Linked DNA regions of Callithrix jacchus. The protein of the gene in region 2 interacts with the protein of the main gene of each other region in a pairwise test. Links are inferred from orthologs where the notes say so. Each region holds a gene or a part of one and is shown on either strand. Other genes may lie near its edges.

Region 1 (6,456 bases), on a different chromosome or scaffold from region 2:
TTTGTTCTGGGACCAGGATAGGGCCCAGGTAAGGGCGACTAGTTCAGCCTGTTGTGAAGTGGTCCCAAGAGGAAGGGGGTGGGTTTCTATAATTTCAGAGTGAGTTACTATAGCATAGGCTGCTCTCCGTGGGCTGGTGGGATGGGGTATAGAGCTGCCATCAACGAATAGGGTGATGGAGGCAGATGGTAAGGGTTGAGGGAGCAAGTCGGGGCGAGGGGACTGGGCTAATTTGAGGATTTCAGTACAGGAATGTAGGGGGCTGGTGTACGGAGGGCAAGGGAGGAGGGTAGCCGGGTTTAACGAGGAGCAATGGAAGAGGGTGATGTTGGGGTTCTCAATAAACAGTAGGTGAAGCAGTTGGATACGGGAGGGCCCAAGGTGGGGCAGGGAGTGTTGACTGAGCAGCTCGGTCAACCTGTGTGGAGAAAAGACTGGGAGTGGGAGTTGTAGATTGATCTTAAGAGCTTCTGTGGTTAGGGTGACAGCGGCCACTAGGGCTCTAAGGCAGGGCTCCCATCCTCGTTCAGTTGGGTCAAGTTGTCTGGACAGGTAGGCTGTGGGAAAAAGGGTCTTTCCTACTGGTTGGACTAGCACTCCTACAGCTGTGTGTTGTTTCTCGTCCATATATAATTGGAAGGGTAAGTTGGGATTAGGCAGGGCTAGGCTGGTGGAGGTACATAGGGTGTTAAGCAGTGACTTGAACGCCTGATTGACAGAACCTGGTGAGGAAAGTGGTCCTTCGGGGGCTTCTGCAGCAGCATGGTATAGGGGCTTAGCTAGCAAAGCATAATTAGGTACCCAGTGGCGAAAAAACCCTACTAGTCCTAGGAAGGAGAGGATTTCTTTTGCTGACTCAGGGGCCTGGAGCACTTTTAAGGCTTGTAGTCGGTCGATTGTGATGGACCGTCGCCCAGGCGTGAGCTGTATACCTAGGTAGGTGACGGTGGGTGAGGCTATTTGTGCTTTGGTTGGCGACACCTGGTATCCCCTGTCTCCTAGGAAATTGAGTAGGGCGGTGGTGGCCTGGATACACTCCTGGCAGGTGGGAGAGCAGATAAGAAGGTCATCTATGTACTGGAGGAGGTGAGAGGGTTTGAGGTTGCAGTGGAGTAGGTCGGTGGTGAGTGCCTGGCCGAATAGGTGCGGGCTATCTCGGAAGCCTTGTGGAAGGACTGTCCAGGCCAGTTGTTGGGACATGTTCGTGAGGGGATCATCCCAAGTGAAGGCAAAGATAAAGTAGGAGTTGGGGTGTAGAGGTATAGTGAAGAAGGCATCCTTTAGGTCTAAGACTGAGAAGCAGGTGGTCCCCGGGAGAATGTTAGAGAGAATGGTGTATGGGTTGGGGACAACTGGATGTATGGGAATTACGGCTTCATTGATTAAGCACAAGTCCTGGACCAGTCTATATTGTCCTGAGGGTTTTCGTACTGGGAGGATGGGGGTATTACATGGGGAGTTAATGGGGATTAAGAGGCCTTGACCTTTTAGTTTCTCTCTGATGGGTCGGATACCCATACGGTGGGCTTTAGAGATGGGAAATTGAGGGCGGGAGAGAAAATGAGGCGAGGAGTCTTTAAGGCGGACTTGAACTGGCTGGTGGTGTGTAGCTACAGACGGGTTGTTAATGTCCCAGACCTGAGGGTGGACTCTGGGGAGTAGTTCGGATAGGGCTTTTTGGTGTTCGGTATCTGAGGTGAGGGCTAGGAGAAAGAGGCTATGTGAGTTGGCGGTGGGGAAGGTTATGATGGCCTTTAGCTTTGAAAGGATGTCTCGTCCTAGGAGGGGTACTGGGCAGGTGGGGATTACTAAAAAGGAGTGGGTAAATGGAGTGGAGTTATATGAGCACATGAGCGGTGGGGTTTGGTAGGGGATACTTGGGGTCCCGTCGATTCCCATGACTGAGACCTGGGAAGGGGTAAGATGGCCAGAATAGGAAGGAAGTATGGAGTAGGTAGCCCCCATGTCCAGCAAGAAGGAGACACTTTTACCCGCTACCTGAAGTGTGGCCCTAGGCTCGGCGAGGATAACCAGAGTCGGGGAGCCAGGGCCCCGCTAGTCGTCTAGCAGCTCTAGTAGACTGGGGAATGGAGCCCCCTCGGAGGTCGGCTCCTGGCAAGCAGGCTCCTCCCTACTGAGGGTGACCGCCGGCTGCATAACGCCAGTGTGTCTGTTTTGAGGAACCGGCACCCTGGGAAAGCTGGGGCAGTCTGACCTCCAGTGTCCCAGGAGCTGACAGGCAGGGGAAGGCTTAGTTCGTGGCCGTGGTTGTGGACAGGCCCGGGACCAGTGTCCTTCCCTTCCACATTTGAAACATGCCCCCGGAGGGGTATGGGTTTCGGCCTTGGGCCTCTGATTCCCTGCCGGCCTTAGGGCTGCCACTAGGGCTTGGGTCTGGAGGGCAACCTTCTGCTTCATGCGAGTTTGCCGGGCAGCCTCAGCCGCATCTTCCCTGGCATTGAATACTTTAAAGGCCATTTTTACCAGGTCTTGGATGGGAGTCTCTGGCCCCTCTTCTGCTTTCTTTAGTTTCCTTTTTATATCGGATGCTGATTGGGAGATAAAATGGGAGGCTAGTACAGTGGCTCCGTTTTGAGAGGCTGGATCTAGCCGAGTGTACCGGACTAGGGCTTCTTGTAAGCGGGCGAGAAAAAGGGCGGGATTCTCATCAGGTAGTTGGGTGATTTCTCTTAGTTTATCATAGTTTACAACTTTGTTAGATACAATATCCATTCCCCTGAGGAGGTATCTAATCATGCGGTCCCTCTTGGGTATATCAGACCCTCGACTAGCCTGATAGTCCCATTGGGGGGTCTTCACCTGGGATTACTTCGGGGCCTAAGGGGATCTGGTTATCTATAGCATGATCTTTATCTGCTTGGTTTTTGGCTGCCACTAGGATGTGCTCGTGCTCCTCTACTGTGAGGGTGGAGGTACAGATAACGCGGATATCATGCCAAGTGAGGCTGTATGCTTGAGTGAGGTATTGGAATTCCTTAATATAGGTGGACGAGTCGGCTGAGAAGGATCCTAACCGTTTCTCAATTTGGGACAGGTCTTGGAGTGAGAAAGGAACATGGACCCTGACTAAGCCTTCAGTGCCTGCTACTTCTCGGAGTGGGACCAGGATAGTTGGTTGGTGAGAGCGGGTGTGGGCTGCCACTGGGGAGGCAAGAGGAAGAGCGGCCTCCGAGGGAGGGGGCCCAGAGGGAGTGGAGGAAGAGCGAGGCATGGCCTCTGAGATAGAAGGTGCAGAGGGAGTGGGGGAAGGGCGTGCTGTTGAAGGCGACTGGTTGCCGAGGTTGGCAGGAGGGGACAGATGTTCAGGCAGATCTTCCGGTGAGGAGTAGGGAGGGGGAGAGGTAGTGGAGGAAGATTTACGAGGGGTACGAGCTAAGAGGATTTGGTAGGTGGAGCAGGAAGAACATAGGTTGGGGTGGGTACGGAGGTCCCAAAAAGCCTGAACGTAAGGAATTTCATTGTCTTTTCCCATGCGGCGACAAAAATTGTCGAGATCTCGGAGGGTGTTGAAATCGAAAGTGCCAGTCGGGGGCCAATGTGACTGGTTACTGAGTTTGTATTGGGGCCAAGCCACCTGGGACAGGAAGACAAGCTTTTTCTTTCTGAGGGTTTGGGAGTATCCCAATTTGGTAAAATTTCGCAGCAAGCACCCAAGGGGGGTGCTGGAAGGTATTTTGGACTCCGAATTTCCCATGGCAGGTGCAGCTACAGACCCTCCGGCGCGGTTGGGTAGATGCAAAGAAAAGGCGTCCCCTTTCGTTGCAAATTCCCAGGAGTACGGTTAAGGACGGTTAGGGAAGTGGTCAGAGGGGCGTCCCCCGTCTGGCAGCTACCCCTCGGAAGGCTCCAGGAGCCGGAACGGAGGACTACCTCGGCTCGGCCGAGACTAGGCGAGGAGTCCGTGTGGAACGCCGGAGGGGAGCAGCTGCAACCGTGCCGTAGGAGGGGTGGGGGGGGAGAGAAGGTAAAGCTAGAAAAAACTTGGCTTACCTTAATCGGAGCGCAGAGGTGGCAGGGCCAGTGTTGGGTAGGTCGGGGGGAGGGGGCCATGGCCGGGCCAGCGGCCCCAACTCCCGGGTTTCGGCACCACTTGTCCGACCTACCCTCTATGGGAAGATCAGAGCTCGTTCAGAAAAAAACTGGGCCGCAGGTTAGAAGAAAGTCTTAAGTTCAGGCTTTATTGAGAGGAAAGAGCCTCCGGGCGGACCAGCCGGGAAGCACATGAAAATGGCCGCGCCGCTCAGAGGAGCAGAGTTCTTTTATAGGGAGCTGAAGGGCTGAGGGAGTGGGGAAGCCGAGAGAGCCGAGGTGGCGGGCAACGGTTGGTCAGTTTAAACCGCTGGGCGGGAAGCTGGGCGGCAGGAAACTGGGAGGCGGGAAGCCGGGAGGCAGGAAGTTGGGGAGAGCTGATGAGGCGGGTGGTGATTGGTCAGCCGGTTGCCGGGCGGGAGGTGGCTGTGGCCGGGCGGGAAGGCCAGGACGGTATGTAGAGTGAGAGATAAGGGAGTCCCTTTGTGTGGGAGGGGGAAGGCTTTCACGACAGGGACAGAGTTTTCCAAACAACTTTGGCTTCCCAAAGTGCTAGGATTACACCTTGACTGGCTGATACTGGAGTTTTATGACTGAAGTCAGTCTCCCTGAAAATGCAGAGGCTAGGGTTGTTCAAGGACAGTTTGGCTAGCCAGGAATGAGTGCTGCTGATTGGCTGGAGAGACAATGATAGGTGTGTGGAAAATGGTCCTTGTGTGCGCTGAGTCCTCAGTACTTGTCAGAAATGCAAAAACCTGAAAAGACATTTCAAAAGGCTGATCTTAGATTCTACAATACTGATGTTATCTGCAGGGGTGACAGGGGAAGTCGTAAATCTTGTGACCTCTGGAATAATGGCTGGTAATCATGTATCTCGACATATAGCAGAATTTAGCTTTCTCTCATTCTTTAGCTTCCTAACCTGGTGGTCTTTTGTTAGCTTTACAAAAGCAGTCGAGTTTTGGGAAGGGAATCATTATCATTAAACTATGCACTAAAGCTGGGTGTGGTGGCTCATGCCTGTAATCCCAGCACTTTGGGAGGCTGAGGCGGGTGGATCATGAGGTCAAGAGATCAAGACCATCCTGACCAACATGGTGAAACACTGTCTCTATTAAAATATATAAAAATTAGTGGTGGCACGTGCCTGTAGTCCCAGCTACTCAGGAGGCTGAGGCTGGAGAATCGCTTGAACCTGGGAGGCGGAGGTTATAGTGAGTCAAGATCACACCACTGCACTCCAGCTTAGATAACAGAGCAACACTCTCTCAAAGCAAAACAAAACAATACACCAAAACCAAAATGGTCACTTAAACTATAAACTAAATGTTCCCCAGAGTTAGTTAGTCCCAAGCCCAGGAATGATGGAGAGCAGTTTGCAGGTGAAAGACAAGATGGGGGCTGGTTAAATCAGATCTCCTACACAGTGACAATTTTCCGTTAAAATTTTTGCGAAGATGGTTTCATCTGTGTGCACGTGTGCAGAAGTGCCTGTCTCTGCACATGTGTATTCCTGCCTATTTGTGTGTGAGTTGCTGAGGTTCCATACGTCCCTCTGCCTGTGTCTGTGTATTGCTAAGTGGCCTTACATGTCTGTGTGTATGATGCCACTAATGACAGCAAACACATATGTGGCACTTCCTGTGTTCCAGGGTGTGAGTGCTGCGCATGCACCAACTCAGTCCTCCCAACGACCCTTTCAGGTGGGGAAAGGAGTCCCGATCCAGACCCCCAGAGAGGGTTCTTGGATCTCTTATAAGAAAGCCTTCAGGGGAAGCAGGTGGAGTAAAGTGGAAGCAAGGTTATTAGGAAAGAAAAGGAATAAAGAATGGCCTCTCCCTAGACAGAGCGGACCTGAGGGCACTGCTGGCCATTTTTATGGTGATTTCTTGATTATATGCTGAACAAGGGGTGGATTACTCATGCCTCCTTTTTAGACTATAGGGTAACTTTCTGATGTTGCCATGGCATTTGTAAACTGTCATGGCGCTGGTGGGAGTGCAGCAGTGAGGACGACCAGAGGTCACCCTCGTCGCCATCTTGGTTTTGGTGGGATTTGGCCGGCTCTTTTACTGCAACCCGTTCAGTCAGCAAGGTCTTTTATTATTATTATTATTTTTGAGACAGAGTCTGGCATTGTCGCCCAGACTGGAGTGCAATGGCGTGATCTCGGCTCACTGCAGCCTCTGCCTCCTGGTTTCCTGTGATTCTCCCACCTCAGCCCCTCGAGTAGCTGAGATTACAGATGCACACCACCATACCCGGCTAATTTTTTGTATTTTTAGTGGAGATGGGTTTTCACTGTGTTAGCCAGACTGGTCTCAAACTCTTGACCTCGTGATCCACCTGCCTTGGCCTTTCAAAGTGCTGGGATTACAGGCGTGAGCCACTGTGCCCAGCCTATTT
Region 2 (6,561 bases):
CAGTGGCTCACGCCTGTAATCCCAGCGCGCTGGGCTGTTGAAGCAGGCAGATCACTTGAGGTCAGCAGGGTCCCCATGTGCCCAGGGCTCTGTCTGCAGTCAGAGGGGCCGAGCCTCTGCCCAGGGTGACTGGAGGTCCCCAGGTCCCTACCCCACTCCTTCCCCCATCCCTGTTCTAGATCCTTCTGTCTCTCTCCTATATCACTTCCTTTTTTTTTTTTTTGAGACGGAGTCTCACTCTATCACCGAGGCTGGAGTGCAGTGGTGTGATCTCAGCTCACTGCAACCTCCACCTCCCGGATTCAAGTGATTCTCTTGCTTCAGCCTCCCAAGTAGCTGGGACTACAGGCACTCGCCACCACACCCAAGAATTTTTGTATTTTTAGTAGAGATGGGGTTTCGCCATGTTGGTCAGGTTGGTCTCGAACTCCTGACCTCAAGTGATCTGCCTGCCTCGGCCTCCCAAAGTGCTGGGATTACAGGCGTGAGTCATGGTGCCCAGCCTGGCTTCTCTCTTGGAAACCACATCGGAGCCACTGCTCTCCCTCTCTATGCTATAAGCAGGCAGCTGTCCAGTCCTGCTCATGGCACTTCCCGGCCTCCAGAGGCTTCCCAGGCCCCATCTCATCCCATCGGCTTGGCATCTCAGGTATTTTCTAGCCCAATCAGACCCAATCTCTTTCTGAGCATCCGGACACTGCGTCCTGAGGGCACTGGGTAACTTCAAGCCTCCTACGCTTGGGAACCCATTCCTTGTAAAATGAGCCAACCCCCTTCCCTCCATCCTCTGATCTAGATGGTGGGGGAGGCATGCCATCTATCCCTCCTTACCAGGGACGCTGGGGCCCAGAGGAGGTGGGGAAGGGCAAGAGGTGCCCGCTGTGTACCAGGCCCTGGTAGGCATCATCATTTCTGTATTTGGGTCTCCCTGCTCTTCCCTGTCACACAGACTTGAGATCAGGGTGGGTCCGAGCCACAGAAAGCACACAGCCGTTCATAAGAGCCACGAGAATCACAGAAGGTGGCTAGGGCCCCAGGATGCGGCTGAGACCCGAGGGGGTGGCCTCCAGGCCAGGCTCACCTTGGGGTCTCTCTTCAGGCGCAGGCGGTGGCCCCAGTGCGGGGTCAGGGACTGCTGGACCACGCCACGGTGCCGCAGGTGAAAGTACTGCCCGTCAGGGAAGATCTGGGGATGTGGGGAAGCGGCCGCACGGATGGGACCCGGCTCCCCTGCTGCAGCCCCCGAGGGCCGGGAAACCCCCCTGCCTTGTCCTTCCCCACCAAGTGCCCTCAGAAACTGAGCTTGGCTGATGCAGGGGTGGGCTGGGGCTCTTGATACTTAGGAGACCTTGGGGGCTCCCTCCCACTTGTCGGGGTCTGGGGCCGTCCAGTCCCCTCGAGCCCCCACTTCCTGTCCATCCCGGTCCCACCCACCGGCCCCAGGTTGACGAAGCCGAATTTGCGTGCCAGGCGCTCGGCCTCCCGGTTCCCCTGGGACACCCGCACGGCCCAGCTGCTGACATAGATGGGGGCCCGGGACGAGGCCCACCCCACAGCCAGGGGGCCTACGAGGGCCAGGGCCAAGGCCAGGCGCAGCCATAGCGCAATCGGGGCGGGCCTCATGGACGCGGGGCGGGGAGGGGGCGGGACCTGAGCAAGCCCCTCCCCCGCCAAACCGCCGAGGGGGCCCAGGCGCCCGCCACGCCCCCGGCGCCATGGCAACGCGGAAGGCTTCGACTCCCAGGGGGCCTTGAGGCTACCCCCGCCGAGAGGCGCGAAGATCTGACAGAAGCGGGAAGGAGGCACGCCTGCCGGCCTTCCGCAGACCCACAGCCTCGGGAGCCTCAGTTCCCCCATTTGTACAACGACAATAATCTAAACCAGAGAAGGGGAGTCACTCGTGGTAACGCGTCCAGCACTTTCTTTGGCCTCGCCCACTTTCCCACACACCCCCTCCTTCGAGAATCAGCCCGGCCTCCTATCCGGCCCAATCAAAATCGCTCTATCGAGCAATCCCGCCTCCTCCAATAAGCCCCGCCCAATTCCCCGCCCCTACTAATCAGCCCCGCCTCCTTTACGGATCAGACCGCCCCTCCTCCGGCTTCACCAATGAATCGCGTACCGTTTCCCCAATCGGCTCGGATTTTTCTCCAGCCCCGCCCACAGGCTCCTCCTTCCACCGCGTGCCGCGCCTCACCCTAGCTCCACCCCCCTCAGCGTCGCAGCCAATAATCCCGTCCCCTGACACCGCCCCTCCAATCAGCTACGTCTCGCTCCCGCCCGGCCAATCGGTGCCCTGAACTGGTGCGCCCCGCCCTCTCCAGGCGGGGTCTGCGCAGTGGCGGCCGCAGCCCCCCCAGAGGGCGATGCGGCGGGGGAGACGGGGCAGGCCCCACCTCCTTTGTCCGCCGTGCCCTCCCATTGGTCCGGGCGGGGGGCCGGGGGCGGACACCGGCGCGGGGCCCGGACAGCTCGGCTCCCGCTGCGAGAAAGCTGCGCGCGTGCAGCGGGGCGGGCGCGCGGGGCCGCGGGCGAGCTCGAGCAGCCAACGCCGGGCGCGCCGGGGCCATGGACGGGCTGAGCCAGCGCGTGGAGCGCTTCCTGGAGCAGAGGAACCTGGTCACCGACGCGCTGGGGGCGCTGGAGGCCAAGACCGGGGTGGAGAAGCGGTATCTGGCTGCAGGTGAGCGGTCGGCGATCGCCCGTTTCGCCGACGGGCACATCGAGGCCACGGGCCCGGGGGTCGCGGATCGGACTCCCTCCCCGGCTGCGGGGTCCGGTCCGGCCGGTGGAGCGTGCGGGGTGACCGGGACCTCGGGGTCCGCCCGCGCCCCCCTTTCCAGCCTCCTTCCCGGCGCTGGGTGCCCGCCACGCCGAAGTCCGGTTCTTCCAGTTGCCCGGTGGCCCCGGAGGGGTGGGGGTGGGGATGCCCGTGACCCGCGCGTTTCCCCGTCCCCTGCCCCCCGTGGACTCCGGGAGGGGAACGGACCGTCCCTGGGGGGCTACCGGGGGGCTGCCCAGGACCCTCCTCCCGGCTGGCCTAGTCTCCTTCCCCCGGCTCAATGGCTTAGTGCCACTGCGCGTAAATATTTAAGACGAAGCTGGGTCGTCTGACAGCTGTGATGGGGGGAGGCTGGACTGGCGCCCGCGGAGCTCCAGATCCCGACACCCCGATTGTGACTCCATGTTCTCCTGGTCCTTTCCGCCTTGGTGACACTGTGCGGCCCTGCCCCTTTCCAAAACTGTCTAGAGCGCGCATGTAGCAATCGCTCCTTAAATGCCTCCCTCTCCACCTTTAAAAGTTTTTTTTTTTTTCTTTTTTTGAGAGGGAGTCTTGCTCTGTTGCCCAGGCTGGAGTGCAATGGCGCGATCTCGGCTCACGGCAACCTCCGCGTCCCGAGTTCAAGCAATTCTCCTGCCTCAGCCTCCCGAGTAGCTGGGATTACAGGTGTGCGCCACCATGCCCAGCTAAATTTTGTATTTTTAGTAGAGATGGAGTTTCACCATGTTGACCAGGCTGGCCTCGAACTCCTGATCTCAAGTGATCCACCCACCCCGACCTCCCAAAGTGCTGGGATTACAGGCGTGAGCCGCCGGCCCTGCCCAGCCTAAAACTTTTTAAAATTAACTTTTTTAAGAGACAGGGTCTCACTATGTTACCCAGGCTGGTGTCAAACTGGGCTCAAGTGATCCTCAGCCTCCCGAAGCTCTGGGATGACAGGAGGGAGCCACTGTACCCAGCCTTTCTTCCCTTTGTGTGGTGCTCCCAGCCCCACTGGCCCTGCCTTCTTTTTCAGGGAGCCTGGCAGAGTAACTCACAAGGATTTTCTCTAGCCTGGGGCGCAGTGGGTAGCGGGCAGTGCCACTTTTTTGAGCACCTCCTGCAGGCAGATCCCAGGACTCCAGTTTCCCCCGTTTTCCCACCATCTGGGAGTTCCCATGCCTGGCAGCCCCAGGACAGTCTGAGATCTGTTCCCAGACCCTGGAGGTCCCCAGGTGCCTGGTCCCATGTGCACAGCACAGCAGGTGGCATGGCCCCCTGTGCCTGCCCCGGGGAGCAGGCCCCTGACCTCTGCCCTCCCTTTCCACATCCCTGGGGCCAGTGGGCGGGAATTGAGGTCATAGAGCGCCCAGGAGGCAGGCAGCAGGGACGGGCTGGCTGGGGCACTGTGTTGCCAGGGAGGAGGCTGAGGTACAGGGAGGCAGGGGCTGCCTATGTGCCTGCTCTGTCTGAAGCATACGCCCCCTCCACCCTGCCCACCCCAGTCCCATCTGCTGCTAATCTTGGGGGCTGTGCCCCGTCCACACTTCCCATGTTCAAGGTCATCCTCCCAGTGCTGAACCTGCAGAAAAAGGGATTTAGGGGAGGGACGCCCTGGGAGAGCCATTCCTCCCCCACCAGGGAGGCCCGGGGAAAGGTGGCGTTCCCTCATCCCCCTGTATCCCCCTCCCCCGCAACCCCGCACCTCCTTTAAACCCATAGGTCCTACACCCCTGGGTAACATGAAGAAACTCAGAGGAGACAGTGGCCCGGAGGCCGCATAGCCTGCTGGGACCAGCTGGGGGACCCCTCCTACCCCGACCTTGGGTGCTTGTCGATAAAGACTGATGCTGGCCGAGGGGAGGGCTGGGCTGCGGAACTTGGGCGTCTGCCCTTTGGTCGGCAAGTGGCCTCTATCTCTCTCTGCAGATAGCAGCCCCAGGGGAGGAGAACGGAGGCTGTCCCAAGCCTTCTGAGCCCAGAGGTTCCCTGTGTGACCTTGGGCAACACCCACCCAGCCCAGTTCTGGCTGTTGCATGAGACAGTTCAGGGAAAGCACAGAACCTGGCACACAATAGGCGCTTAATAAATGCAGTTGTCACAGTCATTCTTTCCAGAGCCAGGTTCAGGATTGGGGCAGAGCTGGATGCGGACACACACACACTCTTCTCTCTGAAGACCCTCCTCACTAGAACTGTGTTACAGTAGCCTGAAGGCGCTTAATAATTGTACAGGAAGGCCAGGTGCAGTGGCTCACACCTGTAATCCCGCCCTTGGGACACAGAGGAGGTGGGGGGGGACCCTGAGGTCAGGAGTTTGAGACCAGCCTGGTCAACACGGTGAAACCCCATCTCTACTAAAAATACAAAAGTCAGCCTGGCAGGGTTGTACACGCCTGCGGTCCCAGCTACTCGGGAGGCGGAGGCACGAGAATCGCTTGAGCCCAGGAGGCGGAGGTTGCAGTGAGCTGGGATTGTGCCACTGCGCTCCAGGCTGGGCAACAGAGCGAGACTCCGTCTCAAAAAAATAAAATGTGCAGAAGGGTGTTTGTTCTCTTTGTTAACTTGTAACCATAAGAGGCAGGGGCCATTACTGCTCCCACTTACCGAGGGGGAAACTGAGGCTCCATGCAGCCAGAGCCTTGCTCGCTCCGGGCTACTGAGTGCACAGCTGACCGAAGGGGCCCTCCTCCGCCCGGGGCATTGAGAGCTGAGGTTTGCTGCGCCCATGACGGTGCCGCCCCCCGCCCCGGGGACGCTGGCAGATGTCTGTCTGTGGTTGTCAGGACTGGGGAGCTGATGGCATAGAGCGGGTAGAGGCCAGGGACACTGCCCAGCACCCTGGAGTGCCCAGATGGGTTTCTCCCCCTCCCCGAGGAAAACCACCAAGAATGACCCCCTATGCTAAGATAGCAGATAAAACGGTTACCTTTCTCGGCTCTGGCACTGAGTCTTGGTGACTGCCCCGCCTCCCTTTCCGGTCTCTGCCTTCCCTTATATTAAAACACTGACCTCCTTTCCCAGGGCCTCCCATCGGGCCTGGACTGAGACAGGGATCGTTGCGGATTACATCGTTTTTCTTTGAGATAGAGTCACTCTCACGCAGGCTGGAGTGTGGTGGTGAGTTCTCCGCTCACTGCGACCTCCGCCTCCCGGGTTCAAGCGATTCTCCTGCCTCAGCCTCCCGAGTAGCTGGGACTACAGGCGCGCGCCACCGTGTCCAGCTAATTTTTGTATTTTTTAGTAGAGACAGGGTTTCACCATGTTGGCCAGGCTGGTCTCGAACCCCTGACTTCAGGTAATCCACCCACCTGAGCCTTCCAAAGTGCTGGGATTACAGCCATGAGCCACCGCACCCGGCCAGATTACACTCATTCACTCGACAAACGCTTACTGGGCAGCTATTCTGCACCCACCCCACTGCCTGCCACCCCAGCGTCGGGCTCCTGCCTGCCCTTGGGAGCTCCCAACCCCGGGAGAGGGGGGACGTGGAGACACGGACCAGTTACAGGTGAAAGGCTCAGGCTTAGGGCCGCGATGGGGGGTGCAGAGTTTGTGGGCAGTGGTGACACCCTAGAGGCGTCACGGAGGCTTCTGGGAGGAGGTGACGGTTGCAGACTCCCAAGAGGAAGCCTGGTGCCGTCACGGGGGTCAGAGGGTCCCTGGCCCCGGCCCACCGCCTCCTCTCTCCGGCAGGAGCCGTCACTCTGCTAAGCCTGTATCTGCTGTTCGGCTACGGAGCGTCTCTGCTGTGCAATCTCATCGGATTTGTATACCCCGCATATGCTTCGTGAGTGCGCA

The links.
Region 1: the proteins of REEP6 (region 2) and LITAF interact in binary tests that used the Homo sapiens proteins (3 or more experiments, as listed by UniProt). The two-hybrid records come from large-scale screens. The link is inferred for Callithrix jacchus from reciprocal best matches to the Homo sapiens genes REEP6 and LITAF.

Annotation. Positions count from the first base shown.
Region 1 is NC_133513.1:17,477,830-17,484,285, forward strand, and holds the start of LITAF (lipopolysaccharide-induced tumor necrosis factor-alpha factor), read left to right. Parts: upstream 1-2,935; 5' UTR 2,936-3,139; intron 3,140-6,456.
Region 2 is NC_133523.1:1,411,841-1,418,401, forward strand, and holds the start of REEP6 (receptor expression-enhancing protein 6), read left to right. Parts: upstream 1-2,486; 5' UTR 2,487-2,568; coding exon 2,569-2,683; intron 2,684-6,456; coding exon 6,457-6,550; intron 6,551-6,561. Other genes in the region: PCSK4 (proprotein convertase subtilisin/kexin type 4), read right to left, coding at 1,082-1,186, 1,435-1,623. UniProt on the Homo sapiens protein: Required for correct function and survival of retinal photoreceptors. Required for retinal development.